3 linked regions of the Callithrix jacchus genome follow. The protein of the gene in region 1 purifies or fractionates together with the protein of each later gene. This does not show direct contact. Links are inferred from orthologs where the notes say so. Each region holds a gene or a part of one and is shown in the gene's direction. Other genes may lie near its edges.

Region 1 (3,645 bases):
AGGAAGATATAAAAACAAGCAATCCCTTCCATCACGATCAACTGGATCGGATATTTAGTGTCATGGGATTTCCTGCAGGTAATTTATTTTCCTTTTTAAAGTCATATTTTGAGTCATACTTCAAAATCATTTCTTCTCATAAGCATATTTTAATGTATAGTTTTAAGCTAAAATAATTAGACTTTAAATTAACACATTTTTTTCTAAAATATTTCATTGTTTTTGTAAGACAAAGACTGGGAAGATATTAGAAAGATGCCAGAATATCCCACACTTCAAAAAGACTTTAGAAGAACAACGTGAGTAATTCCACATTATCTTAGTCTTTTTGTGCTGCTATAAAAAATACCTTAGGCTGTGTAATTTATAAACAACAGAAGTTTGTTTTTTCCCAGTTCTTAAGGCTGGGAAGTCCAAGATCAAGGCACCAGCATGTTTGGTATCTCTTGAGGGTTGTTTTCTGCTTCTAAGGTGGCTTCTTGTTGCTGTTTCCTCACGTGGTGGAAGGTCGAAGGGCAAAAAGGGGCAGATGCTGTGTGATGCCTCTTTTACAAGGCAATAATCCCACTCATGAAAGCAAAGCCCTCAATTTTGGAAGGACTCATCTTCTAATACTGTTAAATTGGGAATTAAGTTTCAACATGAATTTTGGAGGGGACATAAACATTAAAACCATAGTGCATGTTTGTTATAGGCAGGAATTTCAATGGGAATATTTAAATTAATCTTTTCAAAAAACAGATGTAGATTATTATTTAAACTAGAAACCAAGATTTTAGCATATTAATTATGCCTGTGATTTAAAGAAAATACTCCAGATACTGTTAACATATATATAGTTCAGGTTGAGGCTGCAGTATTAAAAACTTAAGAATTTAAGGATCAGTAGGTAGTTTATATCTGTTATGTTTTAGAATGAATAGAGGTCTCAATTCAAGGCCACAGCTGTGATTTCATCTTTATTTGAGTGATGGCTGGTGACTGACAGTCTGAACTAGGAAACCTGGAAGAACACATGCCTGGAATATGAGTAAAACAAACTGATGAAGGCATTTACTTTGAGCAAAAATGAGATTAAGGGTGATGGCAGGTGAGGAGTTTGTTATAAGTAGGCACCCCTGCGGAAAATGGTGGAGGAGGTTCTCTATGGGCAACTTACCAGGAAAATTTCAAGACACGATGGCTTATAGGAACAAAAGCAGACATCATAAAGAGAAGTAGAGAATGGCATTGATCATTTCTAGCCCCTTGTTCTCACAATCCTTGGTGGGGTTCTTTGCCTCTATCCATTTCTTAAGGATAGTGCTGATATCAGTGCTCTATCCTGGGCTCTCTTCTCACTCTAGAGATTTTCCCAGGCAGACTCCATGGTTTTGATGGCCACAATTTACCATCAATTATGTGGATAACTCCCATTATGTGTCTTACTCAGTTCAGTTCACTTTTCCAAGTTTCAAAATCATTTATCTAATTGCCTTGTGGAATTCCAAACTGAATGTTCTATAAATTCTTTAAATTAAACATCCAAAACCAAACTGGCTATTTTCATTTAACATTTTATTGTACCCTTGCCAGCAAGGTACAACCCATCAGGGTGGTGCCAGCAAGGGTACAATAAAATGGACATTCTGGCCAGGCACAGTGGCTCACTCACACCTGTAATCCCCACACTCTGAGAGGCTGAGGTGGAAGGATCCCTTGATCCCAGGAGTTTGATACCTGCCTGGGTAGCATAGTTAGATCCTATCTCTATTTTTATTTAAAAAAAATTATTACTCATATGCTACTGGTGAGGATGAGTACTTCTCAGACTTCATTGTACCTACGAATCACCTGGAGACCTTGTTAAAAATGTAGATTCTGAGTCAGAATCAGGGGTAAGGACTAAGAATCCTCATTTCTAATATAGGTTCTCAGGTGATGCTCAGATCGCTGGTAAGGGCTACATTTGTGTGGCGAGATTCTAGAGCACCTAAAAAGGGCTTTAAAATGTGCATGCCCTTTGACCTGATGATTCCTGGAATTTATCCTGTGGAAGTAATCAGAGTGGCCACAAATAGCTGAGTACTTATTATATACCAGGGTGGTGCTAAACACTTTACCTACATTTTTTCATATAATCTTCATAGCAAATCTATAGGGTAGGTATAATTACAATGTCCACTTTTCACATTCATAACCTAAGGCTTTGATAGAGGTGAACTAACTTGCACAAGATCACACAATTGGTAAATGACTGAGTCAGGGTCTAGTAGGGATCTGAGTCTCACCTGCTAGAATATCAGCTCCCTGCCATGCACATCAGGTTTAGCTACAAGGACTTGTATGCCATAGCTCTTAGAAACAAGTAATACCCGTACCAGTAGGAGATAGGCAGCCACTCAACAGTAAATTTGAAGAGTATTTGACAGGGCAGAATGTTTATGGAACAATATTAAAGAGAAAGCTAAGCCAATTTTTATAGTAGTATTCCAATTTTATGAAAAAAGCAAAACAATCTATGTTTATACCATGTATGTATAGGCGCACACACACACTCACACACACACACACACCACACCAAAGGGACATTATAAAAATTTTGTCAGTGGTTTCTTGTCACAGTGGCTTGTGAGTGATTCTAATTTTCTTCCTTATACTTTCTGTATTCTGTAATTCTTTTTATCATGAAACATGTTACCTATTTTTAGACCTTTTAATTTGAAATATTTCATATGTAGGAAAGAATATATAATGAAAAAAGACATAGTGTATTTAGAATAATAAAATGAATACCCTTTGCTCACCTCTGAACCTAAGAATTAGAGCATTACTAAGGTTACTGAAGTACCTGTATGCCCCACCTCCCTAGCCACATTCCTCCCAGAGGGTAGACTCTGAGTGTTCTGCATTTGGGTTTGTCATCCCACAATTTTTATGATAGTTCTAGTTCACATGTATGTATCTCTAAAAATTCCTCTTCAGTTTATTGTCCTTCGGCTTTTTATAAATGGTAACATAGTATGTACTTTCTTCTGCAACTTGCTCTTTCTCATCACTCAACCTTACATATTCATTTTTACTGTTGCGGAACATTCCATTCTGTGAGTATATAAAACTGTACCCATTCTTCAGTTAATGGTCATTTGGGTTATCTACATTTTTGTTTGTTTGTTAGTTTTTCTGCCATTACTAAAAGGCTGCTAAGAATATTCTTATCCATGTATCCTGATTTACATGTACAGAAGCATCTCTTAGGCTCAGCTATGTGCCTAGAAATGGAGTTGCTAGGTATAGGCTATACACATTTTCAACACTAATGCATAACTGTTTTCCAAAGGCATTGTATAAACTCTCATGTGTGTGTGACAGTTCCTACTTCTTCACACATTTGCTAATATTTGGCAATGTATTCCTCCTTAATTAGAAACAACAATGGCTTACACACATACCTTATAGGAAAACCCATCTTGAAGCTTATCATTAAAAAAATAGCAATTGGATGAGTGTTCCTAGTGATGTGTGACTGTGTGTGTCCTTGCAGGTATGCCAACAGTAGCCTCATAAAGTACATGGAGAAACACAAGGTCAAGCCTGACAGCAAAGTGTTCCTCTTGGTAGGTGCTTCTCTCCCAGACTGAAATCTGATCCTTGGTGCAACTCTTG
Region 2 (4,261 bases), on another chromosome or scaffold:
ACCCAGGAGGCGGAGGTTGCAGTGAGCCGAGGTTCTGCCACTGCACTCCAGCCTGGGTGAGAGAGCGACACTTCATCTCAAAAAAGAAAGAAAGAAGGAAGGAAGGAAGGAAAAAGAAAGAAAGAAGAAAGGAAGGAAGGAAGGAAGGAAGGAAGGAAGGAAGGAAGGAAGGAAGGAAGGAAGGAAGGAGAGAGGCCGTCGCGGTGGCTCACGCCTATAATCCCAGCACTTTGGGAGGCCAAGGCTGGTGGATCACAAGGTCAAGAGATCGAGACCATCCTGGTCAACGTGGTGAAACCCCGTCTCTACTAAAAATACAAAAATTAGCTGGGCATGGCGCCTGCGCCTGTAGTCCCAGCTACTCGGGAGGCTGAGGCAGGAGAATGGCTTGAACCGAGGAGATGGAGGTTGCGGTGAGCCGAGATCGCGCCATTGCATTCCAGCCTGGGTAACAAGAGTGAAACTCTGTCAGAAAGAAAGGAAGGAAGGAAGGAAGGAAGGAAGGAAGGAAGGAAGGAAGGAAGGAAGGAAGGAAGGAAGGAAGGAAGGAAGGAAAAGGAAGGAAGGAAGGAAAAGGAAGGAAGGAAGGAGAAAGAAAGAAGGAAAGAAAGAGAAAGAAAGTTTTGAAACTAAAAAAATGAGAAAAGAAGCCGGCGCGGTGGCTCACGCCTGTAATTCCAGCACTTTGGGAGGCCAAGGCGGGCGGATCACGAGGTCAGAAGATAGAGGCCAATATAGTGAAACTCCGTCTCCACTAAAAACACAAAAATCAGCTTGGTGTGGTGGCACACACCTATAATCCTAGCTACTCGGGAAGCTTAGGGAGGATAAGCGCTTGAATCCAGGAGGCAGAGGGAGATTGCAGTGAGTCGAGATCGCACCACTGGACTCCATTCTAGCAACACAGCGAGATTCCGTCTCAAAAAAAAAAAAAAAAAAAGAAGGAAAGAAAGGGGAATTAATTGTGCTAGGCTGTCTTTGAATGTCATGTTACAATGCGCCACTAGCTTTCTTAGGACATAATTATTGCATCTAGTATCTCACGGAAAACATACATTCCTGATACCAATAGCCTTTGAAAAGATAGTCTTTCAGTAGAGAGATCTGGAGATTTTAATTTGCGAGTTGTTTAACTGCTCAAATTAAAAAAGAAAATGCTGGTTTCCGCAGGGGAGCTGTAAGTTACTGGCCCGCAGTTTTAACAACCAGCAGCGTCAGGCCTGAGACAGCCCAGAGCAAAGACAGGACTAGCTTGAAAGAAATCTCGCGAGGCCCACGCATTGACCAATATTCGCGAGATTTCGATGCCCTGTCCTCTTCCTCCCTCTGGCAGGACCACGGTTTATCTCGCGAATTTTGGGAAGTTCCGTTGGGGAAGATGGCGGCGGCCTCGAGCACCCTTCTCTTCTTGTCGCCGGGGACTTCAGACTGATCCTTCCCGGGAAGAGTAGGGACTGCTGGTGCCCTGCGTCTCGGGATCCCGGGCCAACTTGTTTTCCCCGTTAGTGGCGGGGAAGGGCTTATCCCTTTGTGGCAGATCCAGGCTCTCCCCGCCTTCAGGATGAAAGCTCAGGGGGAAACCGAGGGTAAGTGACCGAGGGGGAAAGGAGGGGGCGGGACACAATTTGGGGAGCCGGTTTGTGAGAGGAGGTTCCTGCCAATGTCCGATAGGGGCCACTTTACGGGCATAGAGTCCAGGAGAGGGAATGTTTATGAGTTTTAGATTCTCACTATACCTTCCTTGGTGAATATAGAGCTCCGACTTTGGGGTGATGGGGACTCTCAACTTCTGTGAAGATTTCCTGATCGACTAGGGACAGTCGGTTGGGCCTCAGGGCACTTTTGGCTTAAAGTGGTGGGAGACCGGGCCAGTGAATACAAAACCAGCTTACATCTCGTTCCAGAAGAGACGTCTGAGTAAATACAGGGCTGTGGGTAAACGTACTGGAGGATATTTTGGCATAAATGAAATGATTAGGTCCTTATATTTATTAGCAGCCAGCAGTTCCCTACAATGTCAAGTGTTCAGATCCCGTGCTATTGTGTGTTTTTAAACTGCACTGAATTTCATTTTTTTTTCCCTTTCTTTTATTGACTGAACTAAGAACTGCAGAAAAACAAACTTTTCTGTGGAACTTTACTAAGATTCTCTAAAGTTCCACACTCCAGTATAGATGCTTCCTTAGCATTTTGGGCATAGTTCTGTTGATACAGTGAGCTGTATTATTGTTTGTTTATCTTTTTCAATTTACTCTGAGCTTTGCAGATTAGGGACCTTGCCTGATTAATTTTTGTATAGTTTCTGGCACGTAATAGTTGCTCAAAAAATAAGCGTTGACGTAAATAGTCGCTCAAAAAATGTCTGAGCATTGAAGTAAAGTTACCTATCAGCAGGTTTCTCAAGGACAACAAGAAGTATGTTTTGGAGGAGAGGTCAAAAGGTGGGGCCGGGTGCAGTGACTCACATCTGTAATCCCAGAACTTTAGGAGGCTGAGGCTGGAGGATCCCTTGAGCCCAGAAGTTAGAGACCAGCCTGGGCAACATAGTGAGACCCTCTCTCTACAAAAACATAAAAAAATTGGCTGGGCGTGAGGGCCTGTAATCCCAGCACTTTGGGAGGCCAAGGCAGGTGGATCACCTGAGGTCAGGAATTCAAGACCAGCCTGGCCAATATGGTGAAACGCCATCTCTACTAAAAATACAATATTAGCTGGTCATGGTGGCTTGTCTGTAATCTCAGCTACTTGAGAGGCTGAGGCAGGAAAATCACTCAAACCCAGGAGGTGGAGGTTGCATTGAGTCAAGATTTTGCCACTGCACTTCAGTCTGGGCAATGAAAGTGAAACTTCATTTCAAAAATAAATAAATAAATAAATAAATAAATAAAAAATTAGGGCCAGGCAGTGGTTCAAGCCTGTAATCCCAGCATTTTGGGAGGCCGAAGCAGGAGGGTCACTTGAGCCCATGAGTTGGAGACCAGCCTGGACAACATGGCAAAACCCTGTTTCTACAACAGATACAAAAATTAGCTGAGCGTGGTGACACAAGCCAGTAGTCTAGCTACTTGGGAGGCTGCGGTAGGCAGATTACCTGAATCCTGTAGGTCAAGACTCCGGTGAGCCAGGATTATGTTATTGCACTCCAACCTGGGTGACAGAGTGAGACCCTGTCTCAAAAAAAAAAGGAAAATTAGCTATAGTGCCAGCTACTCTGAAGGCTGAGCTGGGAGGATCACTTCATCCTGGACCTTGGGAGATCGAGGCTGCAATAGGCTATGATTGTGCCAGTAGTGCACTCAAGCCTTAGCTACTGAGTAAGACTGTCCTTTTTTTTTTTTTTTTTTGAGACAGTTTCACTCTTGTTGCCCAGGCTGGAGTGCAATGATGTAATCTCAGTTTCCTGCAACCTCTGCCTCCTGGGTTCAAGTGATTCTTCTTAGCCTCCCAAGTAGCTGGGATTAGAGGCATGCACCACCACACTTGATAATTTTATATTTTTAGTAGAGAAGGGGCTTCCAAAGTGCCAGGATTACAGGCGTGAGCCACTTAGCAGAGCCTGGCTATTTTTTTCTTTTAAAGTGGTGGGATCTTGTTACGTTGCCCCAGCTGTAGTTGAACTCCCCAGCTCAAGTATTCTTCCACATTGGCCTCCCAAAGTGCTAGCTAGGATTATAGGTGTGAGCCACAATGTCTGGCTTCCCCAGCACTTTTTTTTTAATTGAGATGGAGTGTCACTCTGTCACCCAGGCTGGAGTGCAGTGCTGTGATCTTGGCTCACTGCAACCTCCACCTCCGGATTCAAGCGATTCTCCTGCCTCAGTCTCCTGAGTAGCTGGGTTTACAGGCGCCCACCACCATGCCCGGCTAATTTTTATATTGTTAGTAGAGATGGGGTTTCACCATGTTGGCCAGGCTGGTCTAGATCTCCTGACCTAAGGTGATCCACCTGCCTTAGCCTCCCAAAATGCTGTGATTACAGATGTTAGCCACCATACCCAGCCCTCCCCAGCGCTTTTAATAGTGTTTGAGGCCAGGCATGGTGGCTCACACCTGTAATCCCAAAACGGGGAGGCTGAGGTGGGTGGATCACCTGAGTTCAGGAGTTGGAGACCAGCCTGTCCAACATGGTGAAATCTCGTGTTTACTAAAAATACAAAATTAGCTGGGTGTGGCAAGGTGCATGCCTGTAATCCCAGCTACTCCAGAGGCTGAGGCAGGAGATTCAGTTGAACCTGAGAGGTGGCGGTTTCCTTGAGCCAAG
Region 3 (4,252 bases), on another chromosome or scaffold:
ACAGGCCGAGCCCGCCTCCGCGGCTCCGGTCTCGCAGAGCTCGCGGCAGGTGGCTCAGCATCTTGGTGCCCGCACCCCGAAGCGAGCGAGGAGCGAGGGTGGGTTGGATGACCAAGGTCTGCCCTGGAAGATCATCGCCCCCAACCCCCGCCCCTTCCACGCTCTCGGCGCAGGTGAGGTTTTCGGCTCAGGCCACCGGGACAGCGACCTCTGAGGAGGTCGAGGCGGAAGGCGCAGCTGGGGGCCTGGAGCGGGGCTCCTGAGGGCGCTCCCGCCTTCGCCCTGGTTCACCCCAGGGCCAGCCTCGGCGCCGGAGCCCGCGGGCTGCGCGCTCTGCGGCTGCGAAAACCCGGAGAGGCGGATTGGAGCGCGCTCACCGCGCTCGCAGCCAACTCCTCCGCGGTCCGGCCGCCGAGCTGGGCATGCTCAGTACGGACGCCGCGCCGCCGTCCGCCAACTCGGAAGCTCGCGCTCCCCGGCCGTGGGGGCGAGAACGCCGGCGCTGAGCCGGCGTCGCTCGCCGCCCCCAGACAGTGGCAAACTTCGCGGCGTCCCCGGAGCTCGTCCGGGCGAGGCAGATACCTCACAAATAAAATCAAATCCAATTCCCCATTCTAACCCGAATAATGGAGGCTGCAGCGGCCGGAGTGACCCCGCCGCCGCCAGCCCCTGCCCGCTAGCCGCGGACCAACAGGTAAACTGTTGGGGGTGGGGGGTGGGGGGTGGACGGGAAGAGGAGCTGGGGCCGGGGAGAGGCTGCGGGCTGGAGGAGCCCGAGACGCCTGCGAGCTGGCTGCCCCCGTCGGCGCTCACAGACATCGCGCCTCACCCCCTTCCTCAGCCCCTGGAGGGACAGTAAAGGGTTAAGTCGGCCCCGCGCCACCGTGAGCACGGCCCCCTCCAGCCGCCGCGACCGCCAGCAGCGCGCCTCGGCGCCTGCCCGAAGCCGCCGAGGGGACCGGAGCCGCGGATGCGCCACCGGAGCCTGGCGGGCGTCTAGGAGGCACCGGCCGCTTCCCACCGGCAGCATCCCTGGGTCTCGCGCCCCCTCCAGGTCTCCCTCCCTCTGCACCGGCCGGGTCCGCGCCCAGGTGGCGGAGTCTGCGGGGCGCGTGGCGGCGGGGGAAGGGTCTCTGCCGGGTAAGAGAGGCGGGGGCGGTCCGCTCCTCAGGGGAGGAGGGCCACCCTCGCCTTGGGCGAGCACTTGAGACACCAGCCTAGGCGCCAAGAAAAGTTTTTTTATTTTTTTTCCCAGTGCCCCACCCCCATCCCATCCTGCGCCCAGCTGGGGTGGGTTTGGGTCCATTGGTGAAAAAAGTCACACGTTCCCATCAGCTGCTCCTCCCCCTGGGGACTGGGTGTGGGGGAGCGCAGGAGGTAGGCGCCGCGGAGGACCTTGCCGACCTCTAGCCCCTCCGCCGCCGCCGCGGGAGCGGTGCGTCCCCCGGCCCGAGCGTAGTCGAGTGCCCGCCGGAGGCTGTCCCCATCAGTGCGTGTCTGCTGCCCGGCAGCGGCAGCATCCAACCTGCTTTATTCCTGCCTGCAGCGCCACAGCGAGCGGGCGAGCGAGGAGGGAGAGAGAGGGAGTCTGTCTGCAAAGTGCTGCTCCCTGGTGCTCAGAGGCGGCTGCTCCAGCTCCAACTCTCATTCATTTCGCCGGTTAACATGAGAGATCATGGCCGCCTTCGGGCTTCTCAGCTATGAGCAGAGACCACTGAAGCGCCCCCGGCTCGGGCCGCCCGACGTCTACCCACAGGACCCCAAGCAGAAGGAGGTAAGGGCGCCGGCGGCGGCCTCGGCAACCGGGGCCGCCCTCTGCAGCGCTGACCCGGGGCCAAGTTGGCCCAGCGGGCATCGCCGGCGCTGCAGGAGAAGAGGTCGGGGAGGGGGATGAGAGACGGGGGCCGGGCTGGGGGGCTGGGCGACCCCCCGGCGGCGGAGATCTTGCGGCTGTCAGTCCTCGCGCTCCAATGGGGCAGTCGCTCTCCGTGTGCCGGTAGCTTTCGCGTTGCCTGGCCTTGCACGGCGCCACCGGGCGCTTCTCCGGCTTCTTCCCTGCGGAATCCCTGCCGGCTCTCACCCGCTTCTGCCTGCTTAATTTTTCTTCTTACCGCTTCGGCAAATCCTCGTAAACTTTTTGAAAAATGTGGGAATGCAGTGCATCCTGCACTGAGGTCTTGGGTTTTGCGTCCGCTGGCCAGGGACGAAGGTGGGGGGAGCTTTTCAAATTTTCCGGTTTGGAATGGAAGTCGTTTTTATCGAAGTGATAAACACTTAGCTCTCGGAATATACATCTGTATCCCTTCTCCCCTTTACAAATTAAAATTAAGGAGAAACACCGGTTTTCATCCCTAGAGGCAATTGGCTTAATTGCTGGAGACTGTTTTGTATATGTACAGGCAAGTTACCTTGGGAAGGAATAGTTCCCAGGATTGCTTATTTTTTGAATGAAATTTATTGGAGAAACCTTGACTCTTGCACCAGGTACACTAGCTTCAATGGCTAGGGTAACCACAGCATTTTGTAGCTATGTTTGTGTTTGTCAGGAGTTAAGTAATTATGTAACAAGTCTCCAGTTATAATGATCACCTTTGGCTACACCATTTGCCCAGGGACTTGCCTTTTTTTTTCTGATCACCTGCTAGCCAGCTGTGCTTTTTGGGTTTGCCAGCTGCAGCCCACCCATCTTGTGTTTTCTTCAGCTAAACGCGAACTGACCACGTTTCAAAACTTATCTTTCTGAGAATCTAAAAACCTTCCATTAAAAGATTGTGCGTTCACTGATAGCACAGAAGGGGCCTTGTAAACCAGGCAAGGAGGGGGTCCTTAATTCCTTTTGATAAATGTGTCTGTTTCATTAGTAAAGTGCTAGTTCTGCCTAAACTGTCTTGCTTATAACGTGTCTGAGAAGTAAGGAACAGCACCTCCTTTTAGAGGTTCAGCACACTAAATATACTCGAGTATCGGTGGAGTCATGCAGATGAAAGCTGGGAAGGTTTTACAGGTAGTTTCCAGCACCAGCTTCACAGGATGGTAGGAGTTTGAGAAGATTTCGCGGATTTTTCCCCCACCTGTTACCCCACCCTTCTAACTCAATTTAGAATGAAGTTAATGGTTAAGGACTGGAAATATTAGAGAGGCTGAGGATCAGTGTAAACTTAATAACTTAAAAATTATTGGGAGGAAATTCTTAAAGTTTTGATAGGGACAGGGATATTTCGTTGATCTTTATCATCTCATAATTAATGTGTTACTGTGCCTTTCCAGAGGGCAGCATAATTGATAGCATGATGGCTTGGGATGCTGTGTTTGCTTATTTAGCATTTGTTCTTCAGGCCAACGCTCATTTCAGGACTGGGGCCTCTGCGATTCTGGAAAGAGTAATTTTGGATTTCAGGGTCTTACAACATTTTATGGAGTTGTAAAACTGGAAGCGACCTTAGGGACTACTTTTTATAACTTTCTTTGGACGAAGTGAAACAGGCCTAGGGAAGCTTGACTGGTTTAACCAAGGTTTATGGGGGAATAAGCAGAGGAGTTGTACCACCAAAACAGTATTTATGTCAAAATGAATACTGCTTTGAGGATGATTTATGGGCTATTATGTTCTGATGTTATCCCCTTTTCCAAGGCAGCCAATGTTTTATCTCTCTCAAGCAGAGTCAGAGTTATGTGTGGCTGTAGCCAAATTTGGGTACAATGTGGAACAGGTGCTTGGCTGTTCTTGGGTGGTTGGTGAGTAGCCTAAGCTTTAGTTATTTATGTACTACTTCCCTCAAGATTTCTACCCTGTACCACCTGTACTTTTATTCTAAAGTTTTCTTTAAGTTTTAAGAAACTCTGTGTTTCCTGGGCAATAATACACATGGAGTCATGGTTTTATTACAATATATGTATACATCAAATTTATATCAAATCATGTATACATACTATTTTAAATCCATTTGATATTAGATGCATAGACACGTATATGATTATACATATTAAAATGAGACCATTACTATTAACACTTTAAAAGTTCTTCTCTGTAACTAAAACAACAGTTGTGATCCATTAGAGATACGTGTGGTGGGAAATGCTGATTTAATGGAGGAAGTGTGGGCTTCCAAGTTGGGCTGACCTGGATTTAGGTTTTTTTTTTTTTTCAATTGTGTGACCTAGGCAAGTTGCATAGCCTCTCATTTGTAAATTAGTCTGATTGTACGCTTCAGAAAAAATTTCAAACTAACATTTGGGTGATGAAAGCCCTCCT

What was found. Proteins that work in one complex are often made in the same cells at the same time.
Region 2: the proteins of CDK19 (region 1) and MED1 purify together in Homo sapiens (affinity purification with mass spectrometry; 7 studies listed by BioGRID and IntAct, counting the BioPlex papers as one, with this or other methods). This does not show direct contact. The link is inferred for Callithrix jacchus from reciprocal best matches to the Homo sapiens genes CDK19 and MED1.
Region 3: the proteins of CDK19 (region 1) and MED12L purify together in Homo sapiens (affinity purification with mass spectrometry; 3 studies listed by BioGRID and IntAct, counting the BioPlex papers as one, with this or other methods). This does not show direct contact. The link is inferred for Callithrix jacchus from reciprocal best matches to the Homo sapiens genes CDK19 and MED12L.

The regions. Positions count from the first base shown.
Region 1 is NC_133505.1:116,796,327-116,799,971, reverse strand, and holds part of CDK19 (cyclin-dependent kinase 19), read left to right. Parts: coding exon 1-78; intron 79-229; coding exon 230-299; intron 300-3,523; coding exon 3,524-3,596; intron 3,597-3,645.
Region 2 is NC_133506.1:119,910,748-119,915,008, reverse strand, and holds the start of MED1 (mediator of RNA polymerase II transcription subunit 1), read left to right. Parts: upstream 1-1,358; 5' UTR 1,359-1,561; coding exon 1,562-1,586; intron 1,587-4,261. UniProt on the Homo sapiens protein: Component of the Mediator complex, a coactivator involved in the regulated transcription of nearly all RNA polymerase II-dependent genes.
Region 3 is NC_133518.1:34,162,815-34,167,066, reverse strand, and holds the start of MED12L (mediator of RNA polymerase II transcription subunit 12-like protein), read left to right. Parts: upstream 1-1,349; 5' UTR 1,350-1,675; coding exon 1,676-1,774; intron 1,775-4,252. UniProt on the Homo sapiens protein: May be a component of the Mediator complex, a coactivator involved in the regulated transcription of nearly all RNA polymerase II-dependent genes.